Lonchura striata: one gene and its partner. The protein of the gene in region 1 interacts with the protein of each later gene in a pairwise test. Links are inferred from orthologs where the notes say so. Each region holds a gene or a part of one and is shown on either strand. Other genes may lie near its edges.

Region 1 (9,886 bases):
TTTACTGAGTAGTCGTGTTTTCAGCTCCATTATTGTTTTGATGTATTTAATACACATAAAATCTATAGGCACTCCTTTCTTCACAAAATTACCACACAAATATGAAAGAGGGGCATATAGTAGATGAAGGAAAAGAAGAATAGTTCAATATGGTGTATTCTGACATAGGCTTTAAAGGTGAGGAGAGCAGAACAAGATATAGGAGAGGGTTCAGTTCTAGTAAATAGGACAGTAAAGGTAAAAAGCTGCAGGTTCATTACCTGGTGGGAGGAGCTAAAAGGTGTCAAAGCCAGAATCAAAGCTAAATGTAGCTTTGTGAGTGACTCTAAATCCCACCTTTTTCTATTAGGAGTACAACAGAAGCATTGCTGTTAGCCAGAAGTGTGAATAGTTACATCAGAGGGAAAGGAATATAAGAATTGAGATCTTTCCCAAATCCTTTCTCAAACTTTATGGTGTAATGGGCACACCTGCTCTGAGTGAGTGGTACACCATTTGTTGGCATCACCAACAAATAGGCTTGGCTAAAGCCAACCCTGCTGTGAAAACCTTGTGCAAAATTATGCTAAGCAGTACCTCTTCACCTAAAGAATTTGGGTCTTACTGGGAGTTAATAGGACCAGCCTAAACTGAGACCAAACATATCTCAAACTTCTATGGCTGCCATCAGAGAGGAGTTTGACTACAAACCAATCACTTTCCACTACAGGTATCTGCAGTCCCAGAGCCTGAGCTCTCCTGCATGGCAGTGACCCCTTGAGCAGGAGTGCCTCCCAAGGCTACGCCTCAAGACCAAGAGATCACTTGCCTGGCATCTGGAATCTACAGCAAGGTCAGTAACACTTTATGTTAAATTTAAAGCATACTCTACACAAGCTAGCTTAATTATTAGAAGTGTGGTAAGTGGTAGAGCATTTGACCACCTTGTTGTCATTGTTTAGTAACTGTTTAATCATCATCGTTAAATCACTCTTTAATGAAACTTTCTGGTTAACCCTACAATAATGACTTCTTTCAATAGCTTGAAAACTCTTTGATACTGCTGAATGCCTGAGTTGCTTTGCTCTCTGCTTCCTGGAAGAGAAAACAATAGGTAGGTATTTGTCCTTACATCATATTAAGTTCCACCCAGAAACTTTGTGGGGCTGGAACGTCATTTACAATAATGACACAATCAGCTCAGATTGGTATTACAAAAGTATTACAAATTGCCACAGCTGACACATTGGGATGAATGGCTCATCCAGAATGCATTCAGATGGGATTCCCAGTCAACCAACTGAATTGCATTCAGCAGCACTTAAAAATACTAGCAGATATTTATCTCTTTCCCCATACTGGGAGCTTAAACTCTGCAGGTGTAGGTGAAGTGTGTGCATGCCAGGGCCAGCTCAGTCTGTTTCTGTGAGTTCCTTTTCCTGTTGGTTAACTCTGTTAACTTAGAATTAAATGCTGATTGGAGTTCAGGATGCAATTTTACACAAGGCACAATGCAAAGCAGAAAATCTAAACAAATGGTAGAAAATATCATCTGTAAAGGCTGTGAACTTGTGACTTCTATGAGTGTATGTGGCAAAGTGTCAGCCCACCAAAGTCAGCCAGGCTATGCCCACCAAGCAGGAAAATACAGAGCTATCCAATTGTAACGCTTCAAGAGTTTAATGAGAAGTTTCTGTTAATACAAAATGGAAACTAAAGCACTTCCATCTGTTATTCCTTGATGAAAATGTTTATTTCAAGGCTATATGTGAAGGGTAATGGTTTACATACAAATGCAGGCTCCAATTTGCTCTTAACTTAATTTGAATGCTTTTAGTAACAATGGAAAATGCTCAGATTGACAGCCTCACAGATCAAAGCTCACAGTATGATGGTTTGGGGGGCAATGCAAGATGCATGCAATAAATTTAATTCATGAAAATTTTTATGTGACAGACCTACCTAGGTCTAAGGCAGATAGTTTGATAACAGAGTTTGTACAGTCCATCACAAGTTCTGGCCCAGTTACGAAATGGCTGTAGTGTTGCATTCCTCAGCATCCAGCAAGTCGAGCCATAGGCGGTGTTACCTTTATTCCAGACTAGTGGCAGAGCAGACATTAAACATTGCAGCCTCCTATTGCAACAAAAATGCACTGAGGAAACAAAGCTGAAGTGCAGAGGTCATTTCAGCTAAGCCTGCCTCCGAGCAATAGATTTTAAGCAGTAAAATTTTTTCAGGAGTGTAACACAGATTGAGGATAATGCTGTTACCATCAATGCTTGTTATCTTCAAGTCTAACACGCTGGCATATACAAAGAACCTGTGGAGGAACAAGCAGGGGAGGCAAATCCAAACACGTGATACTGTCTTGCAGGGATCTGGTTTAACTGAAGGCCTAGTTATGAAGAAGGAAAACAGGTGCATAGAAGAGTCGCAAGCTGATGGAGTTAAAAACTATGTGCAAAAACATGTGTAAAATCTACAGAATGCTCAGGAGCAGTAAAAAAGCAAGGAGGGATGATAAATGTCTTTTGTGGCTAAAGCAGAGTGAAAGGATTCAGGCAAATGTCTTTCTAAAATCTCTATCAACCAATAGAAGTGTAAAAAAGTGACTACAACCCAGCATGATTGTGAGAGAACACCCTTTCTCATAAGAGAGTGAGTTGACAAATGATGTATATCAGTTCCTTAGGGCTCAAAATGAATGTAGGCTGTATGTATGCACACCTTCAGGGGTCTGAACCTCATCATGTTCATGAAGGAAACCTCTGGGGTAACTGGACCATTTGGGTTCCAGGCTAGACCTCCCAAAAATGTATCTCACTCTGTCTGGTACTCATGGGTCCTAGACTGTCTGAAAGGCTGTGTTATAATACTTGGAGGTTTTATTTTATGCTTTGTTTAGTATTTTCTGCTGGCTTTTACTGTGAAAACACTTGAGATTTTTCTTTTTGAGTTCTCAACAATGGAATATTTTACTGATAGAAATGAAATGCTGTAAAATGAATATGGAAAAATGAAGGACAAAGTACCTATGAAATCATGTGGATGTTTTGTTGTACTAGTTTCCACCACTCAGTTCTGGTCTGTGTGTTATAATGGCACAAATCCACTTGGAAAACTGCAAGGCTGGAGCACATGAGCTTGGAAGGGTCACTAGGAAAATGTGTTGCTTGCAGGAAATGCTGCTGTGATTTTTGTGGGTTCTCCCACAAAGGCTTCTCTCTTTCAATGGGTACTGGTTCAGATTGGCACAATGTCAGAAAGCAGTATGATTATGCTTGAGATGACAGGCGAACTGTCACCTATCCCAACACCCAGGATTCTAGGCCTTGTTTCTGCTTCATTTCTGACTGTGGCATCACTCTCTGTATGAATTTGGTTTGAAATGCCAATACAGACTGACAGGTTTGTTTTTTTTATATGAGTAAAAGTAAACCTTTGTTCAATTGCACAGCATGTGGTGCTTTGGAGTTCTGTCCTGGTTAAATACCAGCATAAATATTAAAACCCAAGGTGTGGATAAATAAAAAGATTTTAAAACTCCTAGAACTTTAGGTAGATGCTGACAAGTACATGTGCTGTCTGTAAGTACATGTGCTGCCTGTAGCAGTTTTTGCAGGAAAAAGGTTTTTCTCCAGCCACAGGTCACAAAAACCATGGGCTCAGAGGTTATCATTCCTGTGGAAAAAATTCCAGAAATAAAGTATGTCTCAGTCCCTGACTGTCTGAAAATGGCAGGTAGTGAGGTCTCCATACAATGATTTCTTTGTGAGAAGAACATTCCACATACTGCCATAGCTAGTCCAGTTTTCTGTTTATGAATGGAGCATCAAAGGTGTGAGACTTCCAGTCACCGAGCCTGGAAAAATAGAGGGATTCATAGAGCTAAGCCAAATCTAGACCTTGGTTAAACCCATGGAGGATTGCAATTGACTTCAAAGTGAGCACAACCTGGTCTGGAATGAATACAGGCTGGTTGCAGCAGTACACACTTCCTCATACACCCCCTCCAGCCTAGGCATTGATACTCAAAGGGCTTTTCTACATGAAAAAATAGCAGTATTAAAGTTGTAGAAATATGAGTTTGGTTTTTTTTCCAAATCCTTCTGGAAGAAGAAATAATGCTTTGTAGAAGCTGCTGTGTCCTCATCTGCTGGGAGCAGCAGCTCCTCTGAATGGCTCCTAACCTGTTTCAGTGGAAGTTACTCTGGTTAACAGAACTCTTGTGTAGAGCTAATGTGGCCCCTTTTGGCTGACAGAGGTGAGAGGAGCTTAGATCCCAAGAGAAGCAATACCAGCAGACTCAGAGGACAAAGATCCCTGGCCTTCTTTCCACCTGAGCTACTCTGGGCACATCTTCATTTCTCCATCTGCCTGCAGAGTGAACATCAGGCTACACTCTGCATCAGAACCTGTGTTGATGTTTAGCTTTGCCTATTAATGAGCAACGTCTTTATCAGTGAAGCTTAAGGTATCTTAAGATAATTTATAATTTGTCCTAAATCACAATAAGCTAACGTGCTGGTTTTGACTGCAATTCAGTTTATCTTCTTCACAGTGACTAGTGGGGGGCTATATTTTGGATTTGTGCTGAAGACTGTGGTGATAATACAGAGATGTTTTTGTTATTGCTGAACAGGGCTTGCACAGAGACTGAGGGTGCACAAAAGTTGGGCAGGGACACAGCTGACCCCAACTGATCCCAAGGGATATTCCAGACCATATGACATTATGCTCAGTCTATGAAAGCAGAGGGTACATTTGGAGTGATGGCATTTATCTTTCCAAGTAACTGTTATGTGTCCTGGTGGTAGCTAACACCTGCCTGCCCATGAGAAGTGGAGAATTAATTCCTTTTTCTTTGCCTGTGTGCATGGCTTTTGCTTTCCTATTAGGCTGTCTTTATCTCAACACACAAGTTTTCTGACTTTTACCTCTTTTGTTCTCTCCCTGATCTTACTGGCCAGGGAGGAAGAGAGGCTGTGTGGGGCTTGGCTGCTGGCTGGGGTTAAAGCACCACAGCTGTTCTTATACTCAGATATAGCTCTTCACCTGTTTTAGACTACTTTAAATGTAGCTGTTTCCCATGAGTGCAGCCTTGCCTCTGCAGTGCCAATTAAAATTTTGGAGAGGGAAAAATGGCAATTTATTTTCTTTAGTTCAGTCACAGCTGTTGTATTACAATGATTGGCCATTGTGGTATGTGAAAGTTGTATGGAGGAGAAAAAGCCCAGGTCCTCCACTGAAAGCTATTGGTGGTTGAACAGGATGCTTTGAGTAGTGTGAACACATCTACCCAGTTCTGGACCCTGTTCACAAAATTCCCAGCTGCAACATCAAGTTCATTCCCCACCCAAGTTGTATAATGCTGTGACTCAGCTAGATAATGCTGTGTTTGCTATTTTTATTAGTGTCTTGGCAAAAGAAATATAATTGGAAAATGCTAGCCCTTTTTATTTTTCGTTTTTATTATCTTGGTTTGTCTCTCTAAATGCTTCCATGTGAGCAACTTCACTCACCTTTAAAGAATGCATGTAGGAAAGAAAAAATGTTTATTGAAGCCTGTAGCTATTACTGCTTGTACTAGAAAAGGCTTCCTCTTGACTTTTTTTGTGAAATTTTACTTAGGGAAAACTGTATTATATACTAAATGGGTGTTTTCTGTACCACCTTGTCTGGAAACCGTGTTTCCTGGTGAGGACAGTCAGGGTGGTTTTGGGTTTAAATCCGATGCTGTGCTGAACGCTTACAAGCTTGACTTGAGCCAGGACTTGGTTTTGCCGTGTGCAGGCCAGCCGGTCCCTCAGGCGCCGCTGTGCTCTCGGGGAATGCCCAGGCTGCCCCGCGACGGGCGGCGTTACCTCTCTTAGAGAGCTGTGTTTTCAATACAATGGGCCTTTCGCTGAAGCCGGCCCGCGGTCAGACCTGCTGCGGGCTCCCCGGGGCCAGCGCGGGCTGTCCGGCCGGGACAGCGCAGGCTCCGCGCCGGCCGGGCCGGCCCTCCTCGCCGCGCGGCGGGGCGGGCCGGGCCGGGCCGGGCGAGCCGGGCGGGCGGCTCCGCCCCTGCCGCTCCGGGCCCGCCCGCAGCGCCGCCAGCACCGGCACGGGCGGTGGGAGCGGCGGCTCCGCGGGACCTGCGGTAGGCGCGACCTCGGGCCGGGGCGAGGGGCCAGGGCCCCGGTGCGGCGGGGCCGTGGGCCGGGTCCCCGCGGGGCCGGGATCCCGGGCGGCAGGAGCCCGCGGGGTGACAGCGGCGGCTCAAGGGCTGCCCGGGACCCGGGGAGGTCGGGGCTTGCGGCAGCTCCGCCGCCGGCAGGGAGCGACGCCCGTTCCCTGGGGAAACGTGGATTCAGGGGAGAGGGCATGCTCTGCTGTTGTAGTCGCAGTTCGGTCCTTTGGCCGAGTCCGTAGTTTATCTTGACTTTATGATTTGATGTGTACAGTTGTCAGGAGGAAGCAGCCTAAGATGGTAGGCTGGCCATTACGCAGTGCTTTTGCCTTTTTTTTTTTTTTTTTTTTTTTTTTTTTAATCCAGAAGGCCCCTTTCTCTAAACTGCACTTATTACACTCTATCTTTTCTTATACCATATGTATTTCGAATGTCTTTAAGACACTTAAGTGTCTTTAAGTGTCTTCAAGTCACTTTAGTTGTCTTAAAAGGAAACTCTTCAAACTCTTGCTATGCTGCAGCTATATGTGTGACAGAGCACAGCACAAATATCTCCCTATTCAGAAAAGCAATTCCTTCTTGTCCCCATTCTGTTTCTGGGCAGTAAGGACGTACTTCTCTGGAATATGTTTTAATTTTTAAAGATATTTACAGTAGTTCCTGGAAGCTTCTTCCTGTTAAGGAGGAACTGTCGAGAAATAACGTTCTGAAGGGAGTGGCAGAGGCATGGAAGGCATCTCAGCCTGGAACGGGGACAGGAGGCTGGGGAGCGGAGAAAGCAGACTGGCGAGGGAGGGGAGAAGTGCTGGTGCAGTGTGTTTTGATGAAGGAGCTGATTATGAGGGTTATGCACATGAAAACCCAGCTGCTATCAGAGGCGGGAGGTTCATTCCCTGATACCTCCCCCAGCATATAGTTATTTTCCGTGGAGTGAGTCAGTGTTTTACTAGATCACCCATGGTAACATCAGAAACAGCACAAAAGCAGTGCAAGTATATGGTTGCTGTAAAGCCTGAGTGTATGAACACTTTCCCCATAGCTTGGCTATTTTTATAATTTCCTGTGTTTTGGGTTGCTGTAAGAGTCATGTGGACCACTCTCCTCCCACTGATGCAGCAGATAACTTGAATTGAGCATTGCTTACATGTTTGCCTGTAGCCCTGTCCCCACTGCATTTCTGCTGAGTGCCTAATTATTTTATGTCAACAATATTTATGATATTTTTGGTTTTTCTCTTGCTGGACCTTAGTATAAGATCAGAGGCCAAAATGTCTGTCTGTACTTAAAATTCCTGGAGTAGCCATCACATTCGTTCATATGATTTGTCACTTCTTTAGCTTATTATTTGTAGTCCCCAGAAGTTTAGAATTGTTAGACTGAAAACTCCATGAAATGTCAGAAGTCACTAAAAGGTACAACAAAACCAGCAGTGGGATGGAGCTATTTCATGGGGGTGTTTATGTAGTCAGAATTGTGAAGACATAGTGTTAGATAACAACTTAAAATACATAACCTGATCTGCTATATAAAAAAAAAAATCAAGCCAAGAAGTCTGTCTGATTTGAAGGTTACAGGAGGTGGTGTTTTCTAGACCTCTAACAAATTTTGGAAGATAGAGCTTCCATAGGGTCTGTTCAATAGCACTGCACTAATCAAAACCAAGATAGAGCTGACTTAATTCTACTTCTGTGATAGCAATGGAGGTATTAAAAAAAGAAGCTCTAGTTAAAGCAACAATATAGCAGATAGTTTAATTGTGACTACAGAAATAGTAGGGCTTTTGAACAAACTGAAAGTTTCATTTATTTTTAGCCAAGCCTCTATATAATAATTTGTAGAAACTTCTCTGTCAGCTTCAAATTGTGGTTGGAGGTTTCTGTTACAATAAATATTCAACTGAGTAATGGCACCAATATGATTTTTGTTTATTGTTATTTTTGTTTACTACCTTGACCCATATTTCTTATTGGATATATTTTTAAAGTGTTTTATGTAAACTGTTGGAAATAAGGACAGGGACTTGTCAGCTGTATGCAGTGTGTTTTGTTTTGAGTTTCTTTTGAAGGTAGCAAAACACTTTTTAAAGGAAAGAAAAGGCTGCACATTTACCCCTCAGCAAACAGCACTTTCACCTGTTTGAAACTTGAGTTGTCCCTTTATTTTTGCCAGTTTATTTGAAAGTGACTGTGGTTGGTATAAATGCTGAATTTCCTTCCCAGGTCCCCAAGATGGGAACAATGTAAAGTAGATATGCAAACCTAAGAACAGCAATAGGTTTTTACTGTGTATTGCTTCTATTGTTGCTCTGTGTTTGTTCCAGATTTTATCAGCACTCACTAGATAAGCTTGATAAGAAGTTAGATCCTGAATGGGGTAACCTGGAATCAGTTACAGGACAGAGCTGGGACTCAGTGGTGTCCTTCTAAGAGACAATTCTGACACTTTCTTGTGTGATTCTTGCTTGGCAGCTAGTTTTTTGTTTGTATGTGTGCAACTATATCCATAATGTTCAGCTGTCACAGATGCTGGTTGTGGACCAGTGCCAGTTGTTAGATTTTGGTAACTGAATAAAACAAACACAGCCCCCACAGCCACTCCCTGGCTGTTCCCTGTGCAGTGCCTGTCTCTGTGACGTCTGGTTAGTAGCAATGATCTTGTCTGAGACCTCCAAAGAAAGGGAAACAAGTTCTTCCCAGGTGTGGCCTCCTTTTTTCCCTTATGTGCTGTCTGTTTGAGAGAGAATATGCTGTCTTACTTGGTAAGGAAGGTTAAAAGTCTTTTGGAATTATTGTTTTGGTTGTGTTTGGTTTTTTTTTTCTTTTACCACAAAGTGTGAGTGATAAAGGTTTTTTTGAGGGCATTGGGAAAGTGTTCACCAGTAGGAGAGGTGGGCTTCCAATTCAGGCTTTTAGATCTTAACTTCTGGTGATCTTAAGAACTGTCAAATATATCAGTTCCATATTAAAGATCCAGATGAGTTTTAATGCTTCTGAAGGTCTCTTGTTTGTGCTAAACTTTACTGTAGCCATATAGTCAATATGTATGTGAAGTGATAATTGCTATGATTAATTCCTGCACCCCCGAAGACCTCTGGCTTGGCTAGAAAAACTTGTCTGATTTTGGACTTTGGCCTAGTAAGTTGCTCTGAATTAAGTGCTTAAGTTGCCTGAAGCAGACAGGGTAACTGTTTCTGTTATTATTGCTAGAGGTAACAATTTTAAGCATGGGAATTTGCACTTATTCAGTAAACAGTGTACTTAACTATAGTCAAAATAACTGGTTGTTGCCTGTGCTTGGTAGTGTTTTAAAAATACTTGGTTTTCTATTAGCTAGGAGAATAAATGCATCTTACAAATACCAGGATTTAGGGGAAAAATACTTCTCGTAGTAAGCTTTAAGGATTAGACCTTGCTGATCTCAAGTGCAGTCTAGATTTGAAGGCTACAGTCTTGCTTTCTTTTCACATTCTTTGTTTATGGTTGCTTTGAAATACCTATTTTACTATTCTAAGTTGGTTCTTTAATAATTCTGTTCCTGGAAAGAATTAATCAACTGAGAATGAATAATTCCTTATAGTCTGGAACGAATGAAGGTTTGTCCATTTTGCTCACGGAGGGGTAGTAACCATCCCAGCGTTGCTGGACAGGTTAATGTGTTCAGCAAATGTGTCCAGAAAGTGCGAAAGTCATCCCTGTTAAGAAAATATTGATGTCTTTGTACCTCTGGTTGATG
Region 2 (10,369 bases), on another chromosome or scaffold:
CTGATGAAACTGTCAAAAACCTGTTCTGATCTTGTCACCTTCTCAGCCCCATCTGAATGAGCTGATGACAAAGAAGTGGCTGATGGGATCTAATGCAGTGGGGACTATCTGTGTCACTGTAGAGGATTATTTCAATGACTTTGCAAAAATTAAAAAGCCTTACAAAAAGGTAGGTGCAACATAGTGATACTTTGCTAATGTACTCTGAGCATCATGGTGATTTGGAATTTCTGAACACCACATGGAATTCAAAACTGAAATGCAGAAATTGGAATTGATTCATTACTGGAAAGGAAAAAATGTTCATCATCATATTGCAGAAATCTGAATCTACTTTTTTTTTTTTTTTTTTTTTTTGTTCACAGGCATGTAATATTGTCAAAGACAGATCTAAGTTGTAGTATTTAGTCCAAGAAACTTCTTGGCATGTTACTAGATATTTTTACCAGTTTGTATTTTTTGCCACTTCTCAGAAGTTTGTAGTCTGATAAAATTAGCTCTTCTGAAACTAGTTTTCCTGGTCTGTAATGACTTTTTTTGCAAATGCACATCAAGTAATTCCTAGTTTTAATATATACAATGAAGCATAGTGAATTTGGTGTGCCATAAGAGTTAACAAATGCATATTTATGTTTAAAGTTCTCTTACAACGGTAAATGTGCTAGGTTAGGATTTTTTTTCCTCTGGTCTGTCAAAGGATATCTGAATTTCTCTATTTATAGAAACAAGTACAATAATGTGGAAGATTAAAGTCAGGTTCATGTAATAAGACAGGATTAAATGGTTGTCTAACATTTAGGAACCTAATAGAAGCCAGCAAGATCTGTATTTAGGTGAGGTCTTTGAAGAAGCTCTTAGAAGGGCTTAAAAGACAGTCTCCAAATCATACACTTATTCTTTCTTACCTTAATTCTCAAAGTGATAAAGGGAACCGCTCCGAGTTTCTCCTATGACCTTTTAACCTTCAGTATTTGCAGATCCTAGAGGCCTTATTATGTAAGTAAATGTATTTTCGGTCCAGAAAAAGTGCACAAAATGAGTTAGGTCAGTCTCAGAATTAGTCTATATCCATGGAACAGCTTTCTTTTCCAGATTTAGTTTATTACTGTGAGGTACGAGTGCTTGGCATGGCTTTTGAGGTGTTAATACCCATCTCTGTAATCACATATGTTTCAATATGTAGCATTTATTGCCACCTTGTGGGGAAGAAGCTTACAAGCAGGTTGTTTGGCATTCAACATACCCACTTTTCCACTGTCTCCCAGCACAAAAAAAATCTCCCATGAAAGATGCCATATGTTCTAGCACGGGCTGGACCATGCTTTTGTTTCCCCGATTTGTGATGGGATTTTTCCAGGTTTTAAAATATTCTTGGATAACCCTGTTTTGAAAGTACAGTTTTTAAAAGCCACATGATCAGAGCACCTCCAAGAAGACTGTAGTCCAATGAGAAGGACAGAGTTCTGAAACAGAGGAAATTGGCATTTAAGGCATTCTGCTTTACTGTTTTCCTTGTGTGTAAATTGAATGCTCTACCATTCCCTGTTGGCTCTTCTGGAGTGTTCTAGTTGTAGTGGAGCTGTTCTTCAGTTCCTCTCCAGCCAGATGGGCTATACATGTCAGCCCCCCACAGTCTGTTCTGTGGAGTTCATTTTTCTTTGTGTAACTGGCATCAATTCCACCAACACAAGAGAAGCTGTCCCTGAGCAACCACCTAACTCTGGTATTTCTGCAGACTCTTGAGAGCAGAACTTAAAATTGTATTTTTGACTTCCAGTACTTTGCAATCTGTTTTCTCCCTTTTTTTCTTCCTTTTTCTCTCTTTGCTGAAACCTTTTATTCAAATTTTGACTGAAGAATATATTTCAAGAACAACTTGAAACTAAAGTTTGATCATACTGCTAATAAAACATAATAAATAGTTTGTGACTACCTCTTACACCAGCTTTTTCTTAATCATAAGTAACTTTGCCACCATGTTTACGAGGAAGAAAAAACACCTGAGGACTTGTCGGATTTAAGAACTCTGGTTACATTTTTGTTGAAAAATAAGCATGTGAAGGTTTTGGAGTTTTAGTTTTGTTCTTTATTTCCAAATCTCAGTATTACTCTTGCACAAATACCATGATACTCATACCATCCAGGTACCAGTAGATATTTCCCATAAAAAAGATAAGTGCAGAACAGCAAATCAGTCAAGGAAGATCTGAGAAAGGGATTGTTCTTTGATGCTCCTCAAAAAACTCAGACATGTTATTAAAGATATGTTGGGTTTGTTGCTTCTTGTGATTGGCTCATTGTTAGGGAAGGAGAGATTTTCATTTCTGTGAGAACAGTGAAAATCTAAAACTCCTCAATCTGTGTTAGCAAAAATTGTATACTGCTGTTTAAGTGCAAATACACAGTTCATAGCTTAAAAATAATGGCTACTTCTGCAGGTATCACTGGCATAACCCACCAGCTTTTCCATCTCTTTCAGACAATGACTCTTGAGGCCCATCGGAGAGTAGTTGTGGAATACATCAGAGCAATCATGCTAAAACGTATATCTTTCAAGAATGCAGAAGAGAGAAAAGAAGGTGCAGAAAGAATGATTAAAGAAGCAGAACAGTTCAGATTTTTGTTTAAGAAGCTTGCAGCTGTAAGTATTTGCTTTGGGTAGTGCTGTTATCCTGGTAATTTACAATAACCACGTATGTTTATTGCTTGGGGGAAATGGCTAGAGTTAAATCTCCATGTCTCCAAAATGTTGAGTGACTTGGGAATATCAAAGATGCCACCTGGGGGGCACAGATGCAGATTCTGAAAACTCAGGCCAGCTGCTAAAATTCCTGAGCACCAGTTTCTAGTGCTTTGTGTTTATACAGCTCTCTGCAGCTGAATATTTGAATGGCCTCTGAGAGATAGATACCTGGAATTCATAGTAGTAAGTGAAAGAAAAAAGCAATTAAAAAAAAAAATCTGTCTTTTCTTTTCCTGGCCAGAAGAAAGGCTGATCTGGCATCAAACAGATGCCATTACTTATTACCTAAGGAGCATGCAGTGTGTTAATTTGGATCAATAAGATGAGTATGTTGACCCCATTTAAAGTCCAGTAGAAATAGAAAAGACAAGCTAAAAAAAAGGTATTTGAAAATCAACATACAAGACAGGTGTAAAAGTTTTAACTGCATAAGGAACAGGGATCTTCCAGAAAGCTCTTGGGGGCAACAGATGACCGATTGTAAAAACAATGCGCAGAAAGATAAAAGCCTGAAAAACTGGGATAGTTGATGGAAGAGGTTGTAGAATAAAGGAAACAAACCATACCTGATTGGCAGAACCAGGTGACCTTGAATAAGAATACTGAAATAATCCAGAGTTTAAATAGATACAGATCAATCAACCAGTTGCTGAAAGCTGCTTTGGTGGCCAGATGACTTGAAGGAATGTAACAGAGGGCCAGTTTTGAAGTAATGTTTCAGAAGAGATCTGTCTTTTATGTCAGTTATTCCTAATATTTATGCTCATAATTTCCCAAAGTTGAAGACTGGAATTTATCACCATGTGGATAAATACAACATATTGTTTGTAGGACACTACTTTCTTCACTGATATTCTCAGCATAAGTCTCTGAATGGAAAACAGGGAGAGAAAAGGATTACGGTGACAATTTACAAATACTTGTTTTTTTAAATGTCTGAAAATTCAGCTTTTTGGGAAATTCAAGGGCATTGTCAGACAAAATATTAATTAAAGGATTATTTGTAGGTTTGAGGAGTACTGCTATTGTTTTGGGACATTTTTAATATTTTTTGTTTACTTTTGCAGGGCTCTGGAGAGGACACTGAAGGACTCTGTGACATCATTGAAGCCATTGCCGAGGTTATCAAGCTGACTGATCCTTCACTACTCTATCTGGAAGTTTCAACTTTAGTCAGTAAATACCCAGATATCAGGTAATTCTCTGCCCTCAGATTTAATATATAGAAAGATAACAACATAATTTCCTAGAGGTTTGGGCAAATTCTGAAATTTAAAACAGTCTGTAAATGTGTTCATATTTTTCATATTTTAGAATGTAACCACTTTCTTGTAGTAATTAATAATAAAAAGAAAGTAATGCTAATCTACAATGTACATGAGCTGGACTAGAAGTTACAACTACTTAAGTACTGCAGGGGAATACTAAAAATACTTCAGCTCTGTGTGTTAGGAGGATAAAATAGGTTTTAGAGTCCTAAAAGCAGCCAAAATGGTGCTTTATATTGAGCAGGAAAAGCCAGTTCTGAGTGAGTAGAGATCTCGTTAAGAATAAAAAAGTACCTGAAACTGAGTGAAAGGATTGCCAATTAAGTGCTGTCTTTGACAAAATCTTTCTTGTGCGAAGCCTCCTAATGCCAGTTTTACCCTTTTTATTTGGCAGGGATGACCACATTGCAGCTTTGCTGACAGTGAGAGGTGATGCCAGCAGAGATATGAAGCAGACTATCATTGAAACTTTGGATCAAGGTCCAAGCCAACCAAATCCAAACTACGTGCCAATTTTTAAGGAAATTACAGTTCCTACTCTCACTGTGCCAAAACTTCTGAAGTAATTGACAACTCTGTGTTTGTGTGTCATTACTGCTCTGGGATCAACAGGTTTGAAATATTTGTGGGCAAATTTGGCAGTGCTATTTTGAGTGAAGTTCTGTATACATTGATACTTGCTAGGCATAGTTCTTTCTGAAGACTTGGACGGAAGGAAATGCAAGATACCTGAAAGAAGAATTAAAGGTCATGTTTGAAGAGCAAAGCTTTTAATGGCATGGTTGTTTTTTGTTTTTGGTTTTTTTTTACTGACCTGTTTGTCACAGCTGGTTTTGCTGTCAGCAAATACATTTTTCTTGTGGAATATGTTTGCACAGTGCGCTGCAATGCTATATAAAGATATTTATACCAAGACCTGCAGAGCTGTATTAGTGCTGGATATACTAACATACATCACTTACAATACCTAAGCAGACTGCTTTAGAACTGTCTTTATATGGCACTGCATTCAGCGTTAATGTCAATCCACTTTCACGTTATATTTTGTGTATGTACTTACTTTGGTGTAAAATAGTTTATTGCAGAAAACTTAATTATGAAATCAGTTTGCTGACATAAAGGACTGAATGAAATTGCTACAGTGCAATTTGATTATAGGTTGAATAAATAAATAAAGACATAAGGTACAATTTTTTTTCACTGATTCACTAAAAACAGCACATAAAGCACACCAGTTCAATAAAATGTTAAATCATTCCTATGTTCAGCTATGATTCTTTGCATCCTTGTAGATTTACAGAGCATGTAAATCTTTTTTGTTGTTCTAAGTGTGAATAAAAATTGGATTTCATAGTTTTCTGAAAACACAAGATACTGGGTTTTATTTCTACAGTATTTTCAGATTAAGTATAAAATAGTACTAGACGATTATGGATTCAAAATTCCTTGATGGAGGACACATTTAAGGCATTATCTCTTAGTACCTGACCAGAGCTGTCAGAAGTAAGCATGAGGAAGACGCATACCTACATTGTTTTAATTCAGCTTTCTGGAGTTTGTGTGCCTGACGCCTTTGGCCTGTGGCCACCCAGGCCTTGTGCCATTCCAGCCGTCCCCAGCTCATCAGTACTCTGGAAGCGGTATGTACAGGGCCAGCAGTTTGGATAGAGGATGGATCTGAGATTGTGACTTTCTGCAGGGACAGGGACAGTGTGTCCCGAGATGGTTCAGTAGAGCTTCATCCTGGTATCTCTGTGCTTGAGGGGTTTTAGCACAGGAGGTTCTTAGGGACAGTAAACTCTGCATAGAAGTTGTAGGTGCAGGGAGAGGAATTTGACTGGTTTTCAGAGGGTTGTGTTCAGCCCCCAGTAAAGAATTCAGTTAAAGATCAGTGAGGTGGTGCTAATTTGGCTTGTACTCCAATTCCATCCTCTCCCTGAAATTCTTTCCCGGTGTGCTTTAATCCTCACTTTGTGTGAGGGGATCTGTTGAGCGGGCTTTGTTTCCCTCTGTATCGCTTCTTGAGGCTCCATCCCCTCAGGACAGGCCAGCTGCCCTGAGCGGGGACCCGGGCCCGGGCACGGCTCCCGCCTCCCGCCCGCGCCGGGGGCGGCTCCCGGCGGGGCGGGGCCCGCCCGGGATTCCCCTCCGCGCGGCGGGGCGGGGCGCGCGCCCCCGCCCTGCCGTGACGTCACAGGCGTGTGCGTCAGCGCGGCCGGTGTCGGCGGCGCGCGGGGCGGGCGCGCGGGGGCCATGGCGGCGGGGTACCAGCACCGGCCCGGCGGCGGCGGCGCCGCCCTGCCCGACCCCTCCTTCCTGTGGAACGTCTTCCAGAGGTGAGCCCCGCCGCGGGCAGCGGGCAGCGCGCAGCGGGAGGGGCCGGAAGCGGGTCGGCTGCTGCGGGAGTCCGGCCACCGGCCCGGCGCATCCGGCGCGGGGTTTGGCTGCCGCGGCGCTGGATGCGCTGTGAGCATCGCGGTGGCTTCCCCGTGGGAGGAGCTGTACGAAAGAGCTGGGGAGGAATAAACGTGGCTGTATTTTGTAACGGGGGTAAAGGGAATTGGTGGGAGCGAGACGGTAACCTTGAAAGCGCTGAAGTAATTTTTAACCTGAGGTTGCAGAAAGGATAATTAAGTCCGGAGGATCGGTGTAGCAGTACAGGGAAGGCTTGCTTGTAATAAGGGATCTGATAAATGTTAATGAAAGACTAAAGCTACCAGCCAGAAAAGATAGCTGCACTAGGGGACATTTAGGCTGGATATCGGAAAGAACTTCTCAGCAAGGGTGATTGGACATTGGAATGGGCTGCCCAGGGAGGTGCTGGAGTCGCGGTCCCTGGAGGTGTTTAAGGAGAGACGGGGCGTGGCACTCAGTGCCACGGTCCAGGTGACACGGGGCTGTTGGGTCATAGGTTGGACTTGATGACCTTAGAGGTCTTTTCCAACCGGAAGGATTCTGTGAAGTATTCTCTTGAATTCTCCTGGATCAGAGGGACCTGCAAGGGAGTTAGCAAGCTTGTGCTAAAGAAACACACTGGCAAGATCCTATCAGTAAAGAAGCCAAAGGAGATTTCCCAATTATGTCTTGTTGAGGAAACTCGGGAGGTGCCTACATTGGATCCATTTTTATGGGAGATGACTCAAGACAGATCCTCTGACACAAGCAGCAGCAAGAAGGGGTTTTAAGCAGTAGACAAACAGTACTAAGTTTCTAAAACTGGCTGATCTTTACAGAGTGACTCAGGAATGCAGCAGCTTACCTACCCAGCCTGCTGTAAAACAACTTCCTCTGAGGACTCGGGAGAGGCAGGCATGAAGCCGTTTCTCTTTTTAAAGGGTCCAGAAAGAAACAGATCAACAATCCGACTTCTGCACCAGGAAAATCAGTAAAAAGAATTTTAAATAATGTAGTTAGGAGTTGCATGGCTTTTGTTGAAAATGTTCCTTCTGGCAGACTGCTATATAAATCCTGGACTATGTTTCCTAAGGATTGGATTTGGGTATGGATGGCTAAAATTGGAGCAATTCGTATAATCTGTACACTTTTCAAAAATACTCCCAACACTATCAAAAGGCCCTTGAAGAAATTCAGTAAACGTGGAATGAATGGAAGCATTCTTCAGTGGATGGAAAACTGACTGGAGGGTGTGTGTGTGTGGTCATGCACCACACTGACAGATGGAGCTCTCCTGGGATCTTTATGTAATCAGTTCAGGAGCAGTTGTGGGAAAGAGAGTAGGTTTAGATTGGATGGTGGGAATAAGTTTTGTTTTGTGGGCGTGGTGAGGCACTGGAACAGGTTGCTCAGAGAAGCTGTGGCTGCCCCATCCCTGGAAGTTTTTAAGGCCAGGCTGCATGGAGCTGTGAGCCATCTGGTGTAATGGAACATGTTCCTGCCTACAGCCAAGGATTGGAACTTGAGGATATTTTAGGTCCCTTTCAACCCAAACCATTCTGTGGTTCTATGATTCTGTGAAAAAAGGGTGAATGGTCAGGTGAAGTTTGCTGATTTCTGCAGTGACTGAGGCCTGTGAAAGTTTGCAGGAGCACCTTACAGTCCTGAATGACTGGGCTGTATCAGCCTGTCATGGTCAGATCATGATCCCTGCATGATAGGTGATCCCAATGTGTCAGGTGGAATCCAGAGCAGAAATCTGATGTCCATGAGGAAAACCCATTCTAATTTTCCATAATTTTGTTTATAAAAGGAACATGCTGATAGATGACCCTCAGGAGAAAGATAAGTAGGTCAATGCATTTTAGTGAAAATATCAGCTTAGCACTTGGTAGCAGCTTATAAAAGGTAAAAAATGTTCACAATACTAAGAAGAGAAACAGATTATACAGGGGAATTTGTAATTGAAATCTTTGCAATTTATGCTAGCAATTTTAGTATTGCATGCAGGTTACATAATTCTTGGAGATGGGGAAGGAAGCAATAGAATGAACTGAAAGTGTTTAGAAAAAGACAGTAAGAACTAAAGGAAAAGAAAATCAGCTTCTGTGCATGGAGATCAGCTGAGCGGGACTCTGGTTGGGGTAGTAAATGAGGGGAAATGAAAATTGTCAGTCTAAGGGAACATCCTTGTATGAAATGGAGGGAAGTCTCCACCATTTTCAGGTACCCTGATAGAGAAGGCATGCTCCTTCTTTAATTGGGCAGAAATCACTTAATTTATTAATTTTGGCATAGAACTTGAATCATTAAGACAATGGACTGTGAATGGACTGTGCTTAGTGGAAGCTGGAACCTGCCTGCGCTTTTGCTTCTTTGAACCCCTTTGCAGGGCCCTGCAAACGATTGAACCTTTCAGTACTTTGGTCACATTAGTGACTTAATCTCCATTGCCAACATGTGAGAGAGCCTGGGTGACAAACCTGTTGCACCAGTTTGTGAAACAAATAGCTCACTGCTGTCACATTAGGCATTTCGTGGATTTAACCAGCATGTGTGCTCTGCAGCTCTCTTAAACAGAAATAAATGAAAATACTTCCTTGTGGAGAGCATGCCCAAACTGTTTCGTTGTCAGTGTTTCTGTGCGTCTCTTCACTCGTAAGTAAGTCTTGCAGTTTTCTTTGGAGCTTTTATCATGTTCCAGAGACTTTTCAGGAAAATAATAATCTCATCTGGTGACTAAGAAGCAGAATGTCGAAGTCTTCAGTAAGTGGAACCTGTTAATTTCAGCCATTTAAAACTTACTACCTGGTTTTGTTTTGTTTTGGCTTTTTTCCCCAGAGTTGATAAAGACAGGAGTGGAATAATATCTGATAATGAACTTCAGCAGGCATTATCCAATGGTAAGTCTGTAAATGAGCAGTGAGGTAGTTCATTGTAAGCTTCATGATAAATTTGTTGCAAGAGTGGTTACTTGAGGCTGTGATTCTTTGTATGGAAGGGGGTGGGAAGTGTTCCTGCCACTCAGTAGTTACAATTTCATCTACAGCAAAAGGCTGGAAAGGGAAAAAATGAACAATCCTTGTGATTTTTTGTTTGTTTGTTCTAAACTGATTGTAACTGTTACTGGTCTGTATTTTGAGGAATGAGGGCGTGCACATCCCTTTATTTTTTTCCCGGCTCTACTTCCTAGAAATCATAACCAGTGATTCATATATTCCTTGCTTATCACTCCTGAACCTTTTGTTTTTTTAATGAGAATCAGTGTATAACTTGGAAAAAACTGTTTACAACCAGCCTTTTTAATTGCACATAATTTATTTTTCATACAATATGGTGCAGGAAATAAAGTATGTCTGGGGTTTTTCTTAACAGAATAGAAAGATGCACTCTAGATCTTGTATTAGAACTTTCTAGTAGTCAGTTCCTTGTTGTAATATTCAAAGAAACTAGGGTACTGTCAAATAACTCATGGAAACAAAAAATGAATCATTTTTCCAGTAGCCTATTTTTACTTTCCTCCCGTGACTCAGGGTAGATAGGGTTCTACTCTGTGGGGTTTTTTTTCTGTTTGGAAATCTGAAAAAGGGCATATTCAGTCTGTTTGTCCACCTTTGAGTCCATATCAAGTTCACTTTCTCCCAAAGTTTATTCCTTTATCCCTCCTGTGCTTTGTGACTGAGAAGGGCTTAAATTGATGTTGTAAGCTGCAGCACACAATGGTTGAAGGCCCAATTTTGTCAGTAATGCCTGACTTGAAATAAATGTGTACGGTTCTATTCAGTAAAACTGCAGTCTTGTAACTGAACTGGATGTACTGGAATATTTGTTTAATAATGTATCTGATAAATTAAAAGCAATGTTGCAGCTGCCAGACCTGATCCATAATTTAAATTTTGAATAAAATCTTTAGCAAAAACTAAGTTAAGTCACAGTTTCATTTAGCACAGCACTGAATAAAATC

Evidence for each region.
Region 2: the proteins of ANXA11 (region 1) and PDCD6 interact in binary tests that used the Homo sapiens proteins (3 or more experiments, as listed by UniProt). The link is inferred for Lonchura striata from reciprocal best matches to the Homo sapiens genes ANXA11 and PDCD6.

The regions. Positions count from the first base shown.
Region 1 is NC_134609.1:8,708,819-8,718,704, reverse strand, and holds the start of ANXA11 (annexin A11), read left to right. Parts: upstream 1-6,046; 5' UTR 6,047-6,124; intron 6,125-9,886. UniProt on the Homo sapiens protein: Binds specifically to calcyclin in a calcium-dependent manner. Required for midbody formation and completion of the terminal phase of cytokinesis.
Region 2 is NC_134603.1:61,257,751-61,268,119, reverse strand, and holds the start of PDCD6 (programmed cell death protein 6), read left to right. Parts: upstream 1-6,211; 5' UTR 6,212-6,264; coding exon 6,265-6,347; intron 6,348-9,246; coding exon 9,247-9,308; intron 9,309-10,369. Other genes in the region: EXOC3 (exocyst complex component 3), read left to right, coding at 47-169, 2,480-2,641, 3,811-3,938, 4,406-4,577. UniProt on the Homo sapiens protein: Calcium sensor that plays a key role in processes such as endoplasmic reticulum (ER)-Golgi vesicular transport, endosomal biogenesis or membrane repair.